Linked DNA regions of Drosophila melanogaster. The protein of the gene in region 3 interacts with the protein of the main gene of each other region in a pairwise test. Each region holds a gene or a part of one and is shown on either strand. Other genes may lie near its edges.

Region 1 (5,003 bases), on a different chromosome or scaffold from region 3:
GCCGGAACATGACTCACCTATCCAGTTTTCAGCCAGCGAGTGAGCGAAATCCACAATGATGACCAGCTGGACGAGTATGAAGGCCAGGCCACCAATTAGACCCACCCACATCATGGCCGGACCAAAGGATCCATCCGGAATAAAGATGGCTCCAATCGCAGCGCCAAAGCAGATCAGAAATTTCAGTGGCCAAAAGTTGTTCTGGATGTGCGAACGCGGATCCCTGGAGCTCTTCACACCCAGCATAATCAGTGACATCAGAGCGAAAAAGCAGGCCATGCCAAAGCAAACCCTATATACTGCCATGTAACCAAGTGCATACTCGCAGTCGACTTGCAGAGATCCTCCCGAGACAGCGCTGAGTGCTCCCGAGCTATACGACGAGGTGGAGTTGATGCAGAAGGGCATCTTCTTCAGGGTGTCCTGCAGTCCAGGGGACAGCGCAATCGCCCCCAGTACGGTGCCCACCAGGAGGATGAAGGCGTACATGAAGCGCGATGAGGAGGCGTTGGTGCAGCTCGGGCAGGCGGAGCAGCACATGCTGGCTGCAGTGCCTCCACAGCACATGGCGCACTGGAAATGCAAGAATTAAGTATTAAATGGAGACGCAATTGAAGAATTATTCTATTTGATCCAACTTGCTAATAAGTTTTGTCAATAATCCGGATTAATTGAATGATCAACCATCGAAAGTTAAGTTTGCAATACATTTTTCATATTGTTTTCAACTTATTAAAAATTTAAAAATTCATTAAAGTATCTAATAGCTCAAATTGCAAGCTAAATCTTTCTTTTAGATGAAAATCATAGCAGCATTCATGAGTATTGTGAAATTAATAAAATGTTGAATTTCTCCGCATTTGAAACATATGTCTGCTTTTATTGATTTGTAGCCAATGTAAAGAATTTTACCTGGCTAATTAGCTCGCAATTTTCTTACCTGAGCGGCTGAACAGATGCCCAAAGCAGCTCCCATTGTTGCAGCAATAAACTTAGATTTTTACTTTAGTCAAACTGCGTTTTTATTAAATTAAACAAATCTTTGTTTGTGAAAATGATAGAGATGGACTATTTACTGCCTATAGTGACTATCGAATACAGCGGCTGGCGATATTTTTCAGCAATCGTAAGCAGTTGTAAATTTAAAAGTAAATGGGATCAATTCTTTCGCATATTTGCATTTTAAAAATGCTCTTTCAATGTCTTAAATTTTTCAATATGTTTCAAATTTTAAAATTTATAGTTTTAAAATTGAAGTAAATTACTGCAATTTTCTGTACTTCCACAGTTGCCATGCTGATTTCTGCAAAAGTCGGGAGGTGCCATCCGTTCCCTATTCAAATTTCAAAACTTCTGCCACTCCCTCCCAGATGGCGCTTTGCAGTTTCTCAAAACAAAATAGTTTGTCTCCTAAAATAAACTAACAAACGTTATAAATAAACATAAAACATTATTGAAAGCTGAATGAGAGAGAAAGTTCAGATCAATTTTTGTGAATTAAATCATAAACTAATATTATATTTTGAATTAACTTAACTATTGTAACAGTTATTGATAGAGTCGAAATAGGTAATACAGAAAAAGGTTCTATTGATAGTAGTTTTAAAAGGGTATCTGTTCAGTCAACCAGCTAATATTACCGCTCATAAATCTTTAAATGTGTACATAAATGGAGATGTTCTTAATTTTAATAAATCTAGTCGCGAAACTCGAAACTTTACCTAAGGATCGAGAAAACATTTGTTCATAAATTGAGCGTAAGCATAATGGAATATTATTTAAAAAGTTACTTAATATCATTCTTTACTTGTGTTATAAATTAGTTGCTTATAATTTAGGTTGACTCCACAATTTTAAAATTTTTACTCATATAAGTTTTTATAAAATCTATTCCTTGATCTTAATTTCCAGTCACTGGAAGTGGGTTATTTTTAGTGCATCTGCACTCGGCCGATTGCATTCGAGAATACGTTCGCACGCGGCATCTGGCCACACTGCCTGCAACGCTAGCTCGCCTTCGCAACGCGAATCCGCTCATTTCAAATTTTCAAACTCCCGAGAGCGGTTGCGGCGGTGTCGAGACAGCGGCTCCTGAATCCATCCGAATCCGAAAGCGAATCGCATCCAGCCAAGATATCCTATCGTGCAGCTGAAACCCGAAACCCGAATCCGAGTTCGAAACGAAACGAATCGCAGTGGTGGTTTCTCTCTCGCTCTCTAGCTCTCCCTCTCTCTCGCGTGTGTGTATGTGTGCGAGTGGCAGGAAAAGTGCGAAGCCGAAATCTTTTTAGCTGAAAGAAAGCGCAACTTCAATTAGCGAAAAGCAAGAGTAGCTAACAAAAAGAAAAGCGGATCGAAAAGTAAAGAAAAACAAAAAAAAAAAACAAAAGCAACAAATCGAAATGGCAAGCGAAGTGGCCCAAATACCCGCCGAGGAAACGCCCGCAGTGGCGGCGGCGGAAAAATCAGAGGAGCCGGAAAAGTCAGCGGCCCCGCCAGCGGACTCAGCGGCCGCTCCAGCTGCCGCCCCCGCAGTGGAGAAGGCTGAGGATGCCGATGGCGAGAAGAAGGACGGCGAGGCCGGAAAGCAGGACAAGCAGCAGGATGGCGAGGAGCCCAAAAAGGACGAGGCGGTGGCAGCACCCGTGGCGACCAAATCGGAAGCCCCGCCCGCCCAGAAATTCAATGTGCACAAGACCAACTTCGAGAAGGACATCATCTATCTGTACCAGTTCTCGCGCACCCCACTGCTGCCCTCCCTGTCGCCCTACTGCCTGAAGGTGGAGACCTGGCTGCGTCTTGTGGGCCTGAAATACGAGGTGAGTGGTGGTCATAAATCCGGGGAAAAAAACCATAGAAAATTCATGAAAACCTCATTATAAATCGAGCCATCATTTGGCATCCTTCAAAGTACCCAGGATAATTAGGGAAAACCCAAAAACGGACTAGGTAGAATCCCAGGAAGAGCCGAAAACTCTCAGATATTCCAGAAATCCCAGATTTTCAAGGCATTTTTGCGGTACAGATTTTTTCCCAGCTCCTGCGGGAGAGAGCGAGAGAGCTCGGGGAAGAGAGCCAGCGCCGCCATCATGGTGTGCTGCTAAGCCTGCCCGTGTGCATGTGTGTGTGTGACCTGCCCTGCCCCGTAACTGAAAAGGGATACATTTGTGCCGCCTTCCCTCTCTCTCCCAGCGCCCATGCCTGTGTGTGTGAACCTGTAGCCTGGTCCTTTGCGCGTGTGTGTGTGCACAGCGTATACATAAAATTTGTGTGTGCGCCGACGCCGCCCCTCACCCCTTCATCTCTTTGTGCTCCCCTTTGCAAAAGTCGTGCTTCAAATTTTGCACTTGCCGACTCTCTCCTTTTGTCTCGCTCCCTCTCTCGCCGTCTGCTCTTTGTCTTTTGTTGCTGCACTGTTTTTTTTTTATTTCACTTTTCTTTCGACTTCTTTTTGCACTGCACGAAAAGTTGTCATCTCTATGCGCTGCATGCATCTTTTCTTAGCATCTTCGAGATCCATGCAACTGTGCTCTCACTCCATCCACACAACAGCAAATTTTCTCTCTGTATACTTTAGCAGGAGCAGCAGCAGCAGCTTGTAATTGCTTTTAATAAAAATTGATGCAGTTTAAGCTGGACTCAGAAATAGCTGTCTCCCTCTTCGCCTTCCAACTCCCCTTCTCCTTTTCCCTTTCTTTTCTTATCCGTTAAGTAGCTGTAATAGTGTTGGGGGCTGGGTGGGGGGAGTGGCAGACAAACAACTGTCAACGACTTCCAATGGTGCCTTCCATTTTGGCTTGTTGTTTTTTCCTTCACTTTTTAAAGCGCGCGATGCGGTTTGCATATTTTTCATATTTTTTCTGTGCGAGAGGAAAAGCGTGTAGTATGTGGTAGTGGCCGGGGGAGAAATGGGTGCGGTCACCCGCACAAAAACTGGCGACGCAATTGCTGTTTAATCTTATTAATTACATTGGTTAATGAAAAACGAGCCCCTTGCGCGGAATGTTAATTGATGCCGTCGCCTTCCAGATGCCGATAAGCAATCGCCCCCATATGTTGCATTCCACGAAGCAATTATGATTGACAGTCCGTCAGTGGCCGCTTTTCGGCCCGCAGCTGGAAATTACTTTCCATTTTCACGATTATTCCCAATTCCACTGATAAGGCGCAGGCTGCCCAAAATACGGCGGCATTCGATTAGTAGGAAGGAGGGAGTGGGGGGTGGGTAAAAAAAAGAGTTCAACAAACTGGGGACCTTTGACATTTCTGGCATGGTTTGTTGTTGCTGCAGCGCGGCATTAATCATGGAAAAAAAGGGAGGGTGACTGACTGTAAATGCAACTGACTAAGCCAGTTTTCCCCCCTGCTGCTTGCGCTCGGCTGCATTTCTTGCCTGCTCTCCTCCTTTGTGTACACACATTCGTCAGTGTAAACAAGAGCAGAAGTTGTTTCTTTATTGATGATAAACCGAATGCATATTTTTTTCACACCACATTGAAGGCGGCGCCCATTAATAAGCACAGCAGCAACAACAACAACAACTGGGCATAAGTTTCGCTTTTGAGGCGGTGGCCCGCATTGCTAGCATTCCTGAGTGTCGCGCTCGTAGATTGTGCAATTAATTTACATTTTCTCTGCCATATGCATTGCGGGCACAGAGCGATTAAAATTCAAATGGAAATGCTGGCGCGCCATTGCATTTGTGCAATATTGCCGGGCTGCAATTTCAAGGTATTCTGGCAACGCTGCTGCCTCTCCTGCTGCAACTGTACATGTGCGAATGTGTGCGTATCGTATGTCCATGTGTGCGTGTGTGTGTATGTTGGGAGGAAATGGAGTTTTTTTGCTTCTCGTTTTTGTATTTTTTACGTTTTATAGCTGCCTTTGTTTTAATTAATAAACCGCATATTTGCATTTAAACAACACACAGTGGACGGCCTTTGTTGTTGCTCACTCGCTCCAGTGCAATTCTCCCGCTCTCGCTCTCTCTCTCTGGAACTTCT
Region 2 (3,432 bases), on a different chromosome or scaffold from region 3:
GGGTAGGAACAACCAGATCCGCAGCTGCAGCCATTGTCTTCCAATCTCACACGCACACACACACAGGAACAAGCACGTCGGTGGTGTTGTTGCTGTTGTTTTTGTTGTCGTGTCGTCTGATGTACAATCAGTGTTGGTCAACGATTTCGTGCTTGAATTGGTCACACACGGTTGCCGTGTACGCGGTGTATCGATAAGCGATAGTAAACATGCATGGGCATTGGCGCCACAACGACACGTTTAAACATCAACCAAACCAAACCGAACGTATTTAGAACTCCAACAAAATATCTGCTCCACGTGAATTTAAAAACATTTTAGTACTAAAAAATTTGGAACAGAAACGCTAAGCATTTCGACTGCTCCAATCGAAGGTGTGCTGATGGAATCTATATGTTAGAACAATTATTTTCAAAAATCCAATCGCGGCATATAAAATATGAGCGGTTATTTTCGGATATTTGGCTAGGAAACGGTAGGAAATATTTAGAGTATATATTACATCTTAACACAGCTAAACATTCTTTATTGAACAAATAAATCCAAAGTTATATGAACACAATTTAAATCTAACCAACGAATTTGGCGATTAATTGTGTTTAAATCTATACACTTTCTGATCGCGAGTTTTTATCTTGTAACACGTTAAAATATATACATATATTCTTAATTCGAAAGCTGATTTAAGAGACTAAGAGCCGAACAGCCATTTACTACAAATCTAAATCAGATATTAATAACACCAGGAACTCACAAAATACATAGATCGAAGTGGAATACATATAATTTACATACAACTAAGATATTATATTCCGACATCATCGACTGATGAGATAGCTCTCTGACTAAAGACTTGCCCGCACTTAGTGGACCGTATGAGGCAACACCAAATCTTGGAATTTTAAACATTAAACTAATAGATCACACAAGTCTGTACATTCAGGTAGGGTGAGCCCAGGCTCGGCGCCACTTCAGCGATAGAGCCGCACCTGCTGCTTGAGATCCTGGTCGCTTATTCGGTCCTGGAGGTTCAATTCCGCCTCCTGTTTGCGCAGGAGCTCAAAGATGGCCGCCAGCTGCTCGCGCTCTATTCGGCGCTCCTCCTCGATTTGGCTGGGAGTCAGGGTCTTCTCCATCTTATGCTGGAGCCTCTTGGCCTTGAGCTGGCCCATCAGGTGGTTGTAGCTGTGCTCGGGCAGCTGTTCCTCGATTAGCTCAACTTCGCTTTCGGTGGAGTTCTCTTCGTAGGCCTCGTCATCGTCGGTTTCCTCCCCTTGCGGAGTCCGTGACTCGGAATCCTCCTCATCGCGCGGCTCGTCGGCCCCCAGGCCCTCGTCCTCCAGTTCCTGCAAGATAATGTAAGGAAATATTCCAGGAGACGTCTACTTCTTCCGGCAAAAACACCCACGCCTTTGTCCTTGAAGATGTTGGCGAAGTAGAAGGCGACCAAAACGCACAGCAGAAGGGTGACCAGCGCTACCGAGTAGTGGCCTGGTAGTCCAAGAAAGAGAACATCCAGCGAAGGCAGAAAATCCTGCATTTCGAACTCTTTTTGCTATTTGTTGTGACTGAGTTCACTATTCTTGTTTTTCTTGGGGCGCAGTGTGGCCGTTAGCTGCGAACGAAATATTGCCAAGCAGCGCTAAGCGGATTTTCAAAAGGTTTTTTTTTTAATATTTTATATATTGGAAAAGTGAAGTACCTAATCCAACTTTGTTTAGTAAACTAACACTAAACGCATACATTTTAACAATCAAGAAATGGTAAATTACAAAATGCTTTAATATCGATGAAATCCACGCAGTAGTAGATCATCACATCATTTAAATAAATATTCTTAAGTCTATTGGCTGATGTTCATAGCAGATGTGTCCGAGCTCACATCTGCAATGTGGAATGAGGCATCTTCGGCGGGCATGTCATCCTCATCGGTGTACAATCGGCGTAGGCGCTCCTTATAGCTTTTAAAGTATAAGGGTTATTAAATTCGGAATGCATGAACAAATTAGGGCGTCTTACAGTTCGCTATCAGGATTATTGGCTTGATTTCGGCACTTGTCCAACTTTTTCTCGATGGCCTTGACCTTCTCCCGATCGGGCTGCTGATATTGCTTCACCATTATGCGAATTTCTGTCGGGAAAAAGGCATGTAGGGCTGGGCGCACCATCTCACAGCACAAACTTACTTCGCACGGCATCTATGAGTCCGGGTAGCTTCTCCCTGGCGGAGACAAACAGAAGATCCGTCACATAGCTATCGAGATTCTCTTGCTCTCTGCTGGCCGCGTGGAGGACGGCAGCCAATGCAATTTGCGAAGGCGTATGCAGAAGACAGGCATCCGAGTAGTACGTGGAATCAATGAAACTATCAATATGTGGCCGCAGACGATCTGGATTCTGCATATTGCTGCGAGTCTGAAACAAACCAATATGAACGAAACAATCTGGAGAGCAAATGTGAATATATATCGCACTTTTATATCTATCAGGAAACCCTCGATGGGTCTGAACGGATTGTGTATGGTGAGGTAGTAGTTGAGCTGTCCAATCAGCAGTAATTCATTGGACAACACTATGTCGGTGGCCTTGTTCCTGTCGCCCTTGATGTTGTTTACGAACTGGTTGATGGACACGTTGAACTCCTCAACTTTGCAGGCAACGAACACGCATGTGGCTCTGAAAAGGTTTATACATTTTTAGAATGTTTTGCTTTTCAGCTGGGTGTTTGCTGCTCTCAGGTGAGCGTTCCTACAGAATCTCCTTGGGGTGATAGTCCATGGGGGAGTTGTTCAGATAGAACCGCTTGAAGTAGTGGAAGGCCGTGCCCACAACGCACTTGGGCATCGTCGGTTCGAAGCGGCGGCAGAAATCGAACAGGTAGATCTCGTACTGCTTCAGCAACAGGCGCTCCTCCGCCGACGTGAGAAAGTGCTCATTGAGGTCGCGACCCTGCGCCTCCTCCTCGTGCGACTCGATGTACTTGCTGTTCTGCTCCACGCGGAACTCCATGAGCTGGCCCTCATTGGCGAATGTCCAGGACCTCTTTTGCGAGCTCACAGGATACATCTTGCTCAGCTGCCGGCGAATTTATGCCGATTCGAAACTCAGACACCCTGCATGGTGTTACCGATTGCGGGACGGAGAAAAATACCAGTTGTGAAAAAATATTAGGGTGATTCGTACAATAGTCACTTTTATTTCATTGGAAATCAGAAGCGCAAGATTGGCAAAAATTGAGAACGTATAACTAACTGTATGGGCTATGATTTAATCAATAAGTGAACACGTTTTAATACAGCTACAAGTTCGAGTATAATTTTAGTAGGGAAAACATCATTTATTTTGGTTTTAGTTCTAAAATATTTATTAAATATAAATCAAAAATAACTTTTTATCAATCTTCTTGTATTAAAAATCTAGTTTCAAATTTAA
Region 3 (3,581 bases):
ATTAGCATATCACCCATAGCACATAGTCCCCTTTAAACCACATAGAACCACATATATCATTTGTGCTTCGTATACGGACTATAGACCCGAATGGAGTACGTAACGTACAATAACTGCATATTGTTGGTATATTTTGGCTTTATTTGGCTGATACGCGCGTCTCATTCGCAGCCTGCTGATAACGTTTTTTAGCCACCATTTGATTGGTCGATTTGGAGGTACTAAGATATTCGAATATCTTATGAACAGATTTTCCAAAGACCGCTTAAGCTGATGGGCTTTTTTCACTTTCGATTCCTGGAAAAAGCTTATTGGTATTTTTAAGCCCGGAAGTTACTTAGAGCTAATCAAAGCAAATACCTCGTTATTGAAGAATGAAAAGCTTTTAGATAATATGGACTCAACATGTTTTAAGATGGCCCAGAAGAGCAGAACTTCAGGTATCAAATAACTACCAATATCTTGTGTAGAATTTCTTAAAACCATAAAAATAATTTACTTGTTTTGTTTTGGTTTTAGATTAAAAATCTCGATGTTCTTTATTTCTGAAGGCAATTAGTGTTTTCACCAAGACGTTTATCGTTTCAAGGGCTTATGTAAGTGTGTGCACTTGGTTCGCCTTTTGAAACGTTCGAGCCACTTTGTGAAGACACTGCTAACATTAGCGTACAACGAATGCATTATTTTAAAATTCGGCATCTTAGATATTAACTAAATTAGTTAGGGCTTTTCCTACAGCAATGTCTTTGGCCTTACGACAGCTGGACGTCCTCCAGTTGCCGCAGCTTCTCATTGGAGGTGATCTCCGCCTCAACCACCTCGCGGCGGAAGACGACCTTGTAGGCGTAGGCGGTGATGGCGGAGGAGCTCAGCGGGGCCAGCCAGTAGATCCAGTTGCTCTCGAAGTGCTTGTTCCACAGGGCGGGGGCGAACGACCTGGCCGGGTTCATGCTGCCGCCGGTGAAGGGACCCTAAAACCAATGGTAGGGAACGAGGTTAATAATCCGTTTCGAGGCAGGTAAGGATTAGCCAACTGTTCGCTTTAACTTACGGCAGCGCAGGCGAGACAGGCGATGGCCAGGCCAAATCGAATGCCCACGGAGTCATGGAACTTGGAGTTGCGCGGATCCCACACTCCGCAGCAGACGATGACCAGGATGGAGGTGATTACGAACTCGATGCCGAGGGCCTGGCCCGTGGTTACGCTGGTGTGGGGCAAGGTCACGCAGAGCCCAGCGCCCACCGTAAGTGTGGGCGAGGGAAGCAGGACCATGAGCAGGCCGTAGCCGATGAAGGCGCCCAGCATCTGGGCGGCGAAGTAGGCAAATGCCATGCGCAGGGTGACCATCTCGTAGATGTAGGCGGCCACGGTCACGGCGGGATTCAGATGGGCACCGGAGACGCAGCCAAAGCACTGGATGGCGATGAGGACGGCGAAGCCGAAGTTCAGCACAATCTGCAGATGGTTGTTGGGAAAGAGGTCCGTCTTCACGCAACCCATGCAGCCCAGGAAGACCAGGATGCCGGTGCCGATGAGCTCGCCGAGGAAGGCGGAGATTTTGTCCAGCGTCGATCCCTTCATTTTGAAGACCTTACAGCAACTGAAATGGTCAGAGAAGCGCTTGAATAATGCCACACTAAAAAGCGAGCTACCCTCTCTGTCGCACGCCATCGTCCATCTCTTTCTCGACTCTAAGTAGACCTGCTTAGGAACTTCATCAATCATATCCTATCTAAGACCATCCTATCGTTTCGCAAAGCCCTCCTCGATTTGCACCTAATCCCCGCGACACACTTCTACAATCTCAACTATTGTGCAACTTTGTAGTTAGTTTGTCAAGCTTCTAGACCTTTGCAACTGCTGTTCTCCTTCGGCTGCCTGGACGATTTCCTGCTGGTTTTCCACCCCTTGCGGATCCATCCCCTGCTGCTCGAGGTTCATTGACTTGGCATCGATTTTCCAAACACCCTTTTTTGGAAGCACAACTTATGCTGCTGATCCGACAAACGATGCCTGCTGCGGGAATGCCATCGATGGCTGGACTGACATGAAGTAGCCGTGTACTAAATATAGTAGACTTGTGATTGCCGTTCGGCTGTCAATTGGGTTTATAGATAAATGGCCGAAAAAATGCGAATCAAATCACGACATGGCCATAAAACAATAACCAATCTTTTTCAACCTTATCGCCTGAGCGCCACTCGAGTCAATTGGAGTTCACTACGTTGCGAATTAATCCGTTTATTGTGATTGGTAAATCCCTCTTTCTGGTAGCCAGAACTCTTGTTTTTTGTTTTTTGAATTTCTTTGGTTTCGAGTGCCAGATAATTACCGAATCTCGTGGCTCATTTTGACACTTGTCCAATTCTTTGAGATCGCACTATATAATCAATCTTTTCCGTAGCTGGTGAAAATTCACAAAGCGGCAGCGCGACTGTCAATGTCAATCTGAGGCGGTGGAGTAGCCATAGGCAAATATTTATATCTGTGTCTATATAATATTGCGTAAATCAAAAGCCCATTTTTAGCCCCTGTGAGAGAGCAGCAACACACACAGATACACACACACACATATGAAGGGGACCGACCACAAGCACACACACACACACACACACACAAAGGCGTGGAAATTAGCGAATCCTACTGGTGAGCATAAAAAAGTCAAGTGTCCAGAATTTATGAGCATCTTAAACGCTCATTCGCTGCTCTCGTTCGCTTTTGCGATTATCTCTGGAGCGATGCTCCTTCTCGCTCCCACTCTTCCTTTACCAGTCACCTGGCTTAAATCATTATAAAATGGTAGAAACAATACGGATGATATTCCATGGAAACAAGGTTAGATATTAACACTTGGTGTGCAACTGACATACTGGTTTTGCTCTATCGAATTCATTCGACTTATTCACAGCATTTTATGAGAATTATAATATTAAAGGTGGTCCTTACATTTGTTTTTTAAGTAAATTATCATTTTCATTTAACTTGTTTCTTACTATTTGTTTGCCATGAGAAAGGCAAATCTGCTAAGCAATGATTGCTAGAATTAGTAGTAACCATAGTTCCTAAAATACGACATTTTCATTGCGTGTCATTCAAACTTAGCACTAAACTGTAATTGATAGCGAAAATCCCCATAATTATTTTCAGTGTAGTTGGTCGGTGGGCGGTGGGCATAACACTGTTATGCTGTGCAAGTGCGTGACGCGCTCGCAATTGAAGCAGGCGGCATATTGCGTATTGATAACAGCAGAGTGGCACACTATCAATTACCACCGTCGCTTCGATTCCTATCAATTGCAATTGCTGCAATTGAGGATGCGTTGCGTGAATCGGGCTACCACGCAATGTGGCAAACAAATCACGGCAAATCTCGGCACGCCTGTCGATCAAATTGCACGCAATTTGCGTAGTTATGTGTCTCAATAACAATTGGATCGTCAATAAATAATAACAATTTAAAGCAAATATTTTCAAAAGCCCTGCTGTTGCACACACACCCAGTACACACAGTGGCTCAGGTGATCAGAACTTTTGACCCTCACTGACCACGCCTAATGTTTTCCATTGCTTTCTCGCCATA
Region 4 (3,640 bases), on a different chromosome or scaffold from region 3:
GAAAATAAGAAAGAAGACTGCCTGAAATGCTTGAAAGAATAGAGTTGTCCAAAACAGCCAACCATATTGCTAAATACATATATTTTGTAAAAACCATCTTTAATTATATTATATACATACCGATAAGACTGCAAATATTAGCATGAACGATGCCAAGATAGTTAACAAATCGGGAGACATTTGTATCACAGTGTAGAGAGCTTGTTCTGGGTAATAAAACTAGATTATCAAATGGAATCATTGGAACTGCTTAGTCACTAAATTACCTGGGAATTTGTGCTGCATTTCTCTGAAATAGGTTCCTATCAAAACATTAAATTTAATGCAAAAAATAATACTAATGCCAATGTGAATATATATTTACTATTTAAACAAAGGAGCATATAGTCAATGTTCATGCCAGCCAAAAAAATTCCAGCCAATGCAATCAGTATACATCCCATTTGCAAGGATATACAGAAGCAAAATTTTTTAGCCAGAATCATAATTTCAGACGTTTTGACAGGAAATGCAAATAAGATATTCTGCAAAATATTTTTATTTTTAGAATTTCTTTTAAGCCTGAATGTTAAAAAATTATACGTATATTTTAAATTATCAAAACAATTCTTTGTTAATTTCAATGTACAAGATTTGTTTATGAACCACAAGTCGTATACGTAATTTATGTACATTGCAAAACTTTTAAGCAAATACTCATGTTTAGCTCGCCCAGATGATGGCGCCAAATTTAAACGAAATTGCCTTCACATTTTCCGCCATATCTTCTTTATTGTGGTATTAACTTTTTTGCATAATTACAACTTAAGCAATCTGTATTATGGCCTCATTAGCATTAGCCTAGAATTTCCAGCCCGATGTGTGTCGTGTTTGTCAGGCACGCGTGGAATCGTTTTCAGTTCTCATCAAGATGCTAATGAAATTATAAAGAAAATTGAGTCTGCCATATTAGCACAGTAAAAGCATCATCCTCTCACTTGATGAGCATGGGGTAAAGAGCACGAAATGCTATTGCTTTTCATCATCTTAAAAATCAATTTCGCTGATCTCAATTTAATTTTTAAGGACATCCTCTCATTTATCCACACAAACTGGTCTGAATTCATCTGGATGCGCTTTTACATAATAATACGTGTAGACTTTGAGCAAACAAAATAAATCGATTCCTGAAAAGCTGGAGCATAACTTACGAGAATAGAGATTTTTAATATATATGTTTACCCAACGTCACTAAATTCACGAAAACATAAATAATCGCAGAGACAGCACTTTTAAAGAACGGATTGCGAACATTTATCAAAGCATTGAAGATGATGTAGTACGATATCATATGAATGATGAACATGGCCATCCACACGAAAACGATCCTTAAGTACTTCTAAAAGGAATTTTATTAGAATTAAAAATATTGGAAGTGATTTTCTTACCGTCATAACAGATATCAGCAGGATAACTGCAGCTGCGATCATCAGAGCTATATGAAATACATTGAACCATTTCGCATAAACATCAGTCTTGAGTGCTGGTATTTGGGTTTAGATGCTGTTCTTAAAATTCAGGTTTCCTTACTTTTCCAACTCACTGTTCTTGTATATAACCTCATCCACAGTAGTGCCTGCGTTAAGGAATCCGAAAAACAGTGTGTAGAATGAAACTATGATGCATCCAGAAGTCAGCGAGATGCAAAAGCAAAATTCTTGTCTGACCAGCTTTCTTAAAAATGGCATCAAAAATAGGAAAAATACGTTGCTATAAATTTTAGAAAATACAGTTCCATGTTTGACAAATAATGCCAACCGCTTTCAACTTTTAAACTCCATAAACTTCAACTTTCTTTCCATCAGCTGGCGAAACTGAATTGCTGCATCTCCTCTGGTTTTAGGTCACTGCAGTCTTCTGTCATTTTCAACAAAGTTTCGAACGACCTCGACCTCCCACGGAAACTTTAGCCTTTCGGAAAAGTTAGACAAAGTCCCTTGGTCTCTATTTTTTTCTTCATTATTATCCCCTGAGCAAAGTGAAACTGCTGCCTTTTCCTTGCCTAATGCGTTAATTGAAAGCAGCAGCCGTCTAAAAATTATGTTTTCAATAGACTGGAAAATAGGGGGTGATTTCCGAGGCTTGGGGTTTGGGATTATTAAAGATAGCTCGCATCATGGACTTACTTGAAGTGTTAAAGAGGATTTGTGTTGGCAAAAGTTCACTAATTTAAATTTAGTTCAAACAGTGACAAAATATGTTGCAAAGGGAATGCATTGGGCTTAAATTCCATAAATTAAAAAAGATGTTATTACCAAACAAGAATTGATTGGGTGGCTCAAGGGCAATATTTCATGGAAATGTGAAGACGAAGCCTAATAAGACAATATTAGATGGTGGTTTACTAATGAGCCTAATCAGATTAGTGTATTGTTTCCCAGACTTGATTATCTTGGTGCACCATATGGTTGATTTATTTTTGATTGATTGCAGCATCAATTTATTTGTCATCAATACCAACATGTTGGTGTTGATGCCCCATTAAATGTCAGGGAGAAAGAAAAAAAAAAAACAGAAAGTAGAGTAAGTTCAAAAAAAGGACATGTCACATATCATAAGCACCGCTCGAAGCTCCCAGCCAATACACAGATCGATGGAATCTCTTTCATCCACTTCCAGCAGCCACTGGCAGCTCATCTATCATCATTGCCACGAGTCCTTTCTATCCCGGAATGCTTCCACAGTATCCTGTATACTCTCTGCCCCGCTTGACACCCTTGCACCCCATCCCTGCCGTATTTATAGCATCTTAATTGAATTTCAATTTTCAATTTCGCTTTTAATTGAATTCAATGAAAAAGTGTCGATGAGACGGTATTCAGCATTGGTCCCATCCCCATCCCCATCCCCATCCCCATCCAACCATCCGTCCATACCCCCAGAACCCCATCCCAGCCCACTCCCATTCCCTGCACTTGTTGTTGATGCTGTTTATTCAGCTGCCAGTTGAGCACCGCCTGGCTGCCTCTTGATGGCGCCATTCACGCCACAAAGCGTACCGTCCCCACTGAGCTCCCTGCACTTAGAAAAAAAAAATCATTACCATCCTGGTCATTAAATATCAAACGGAATTAGCCATATTATTGCGAAGTCCGTATAAAAATAAAAGAAAATAAATAAAGGCATACAGATGTAATTTTATATTTTGGTATAATTTTAAATAAAAATGCAATCATTCGATTTTTCTGTGTACCTTCGAAATAGGTTTCAAACACCCAAAAACGAATTGTTTTTTGAAATTGCTGTTCCAATTATTTGATCCACAGCAAAATTCACCTGGTTCGTTAATTTAAAAGTAGAAGAATATTCGTTGATAGTGTATTTACTATTTAACAGGTTGAATGGAATATATTCTTGATTAGGATCACTAGCCGAGTCGATCTGGCTTTGTCCGTTTATCTGTCCGTTCGTATAAGCGAAAAATCTTTCATTGCCGCAATTTAAAAATGTACAATATAAATAAATGTATTGTATTTTATTATTGTATTATTGAACTAATTGTTTCTCACCAACTTATATTATTATGGCAAACATATTGTGAAATTTCTCCCTCGCACTCCCGCTATCTTAGTAAAGGGTATCTGCTAGTCGAGGAAATCGA

What was found.
Region 1: the proteins of Eglp4 (region 3) and fax interact in a two-hybrid assay, tested with the Drosophila melanogaster proteins (one large-scale study listed by BioGRID).
Region 2: the proteins of Eglp4 (region 3) and CG7407 interact in a two-hybrid assay, tested with the Drosophila melanogaster proteins (one large-scale study listed by BioGRID).
Region 4: the proteins of Eglp4 (region 3) and CG42263 interact in a two-hybrid assay, tested with the Drosophila melanogaster proteins (one large-scale study listed by BioGRID).

What each region holds. Positions count from the first base shown.
Region 1 is NT_037436.4:16,408,818-16,413,820, reverse strand, and holds the start of fax (failed axon connections), read left to right. Parts: upstream 1-1,992; 5' UTR 1,993-2,402; coding exon 2,403-2,819; intron 2,820-5,003. Other genes in the region: Serinc (serine incorporator), read right to left, coding at 18-573, 941-976. UniProt on the Drosophila melanogaster protein: Together with Abl, involved in embryonic axonal development.
Region 2 is NT_037436.4:21,821,640-21,825,071, reverse strand, and holds CG7407 (uncharacterized protein), read right to left. Parts: upstream 1,612-3,432; 5' UTR 1,541-1,611; coding exon 1,409-1,540; intron 1,347-1,408; coding exon 972-1,346; 3' UTR 501-971; downstream 1-500. Other genes in the region: eIF2A (eukaryotic translation initiation factor 2A), read right to left, coding at 1-34; CycH (cyclin H), read right to left, coding at 1,844-1,961, 2,020-2,131, 2,187-2,415, 2,475-2,676, 2,753-3,066.
Region 3 is NT_033778.4:23,607,081-23,610,661, forward strand, and holds Eglp4 (entomoglyceroporin 4), read right to left. Parts: upstream 1,851-3,581; 5' UTR 1,727-1,850; coding exon 1,052-1,726; intron 972-1,051; coding exon 753-971; 3' UTR 512-752; downstream 1-511.
Region 4 is NT_037436.4:19,954,026-19,957,665, forward strand, and holds CG42263 (uncharacterized protein), read right to left. Parts: upstream 1,775-3,640; 5' UTR 1,728-1,774; coding exon 1,583-1,727; intron 1,523-1,582; coding exon 1,428-1,522; intron 1,379-1,427; coding exon 1,222-1,378; intron 1,167-1,221; coding exon 1,075-1,166; 3' UTR 522-1,074; downstream 1-521. Other genes in the region: CG42654 (uncharacterized protein), read right to left, coding at 1-69, 121-206, 267-302, 365-485.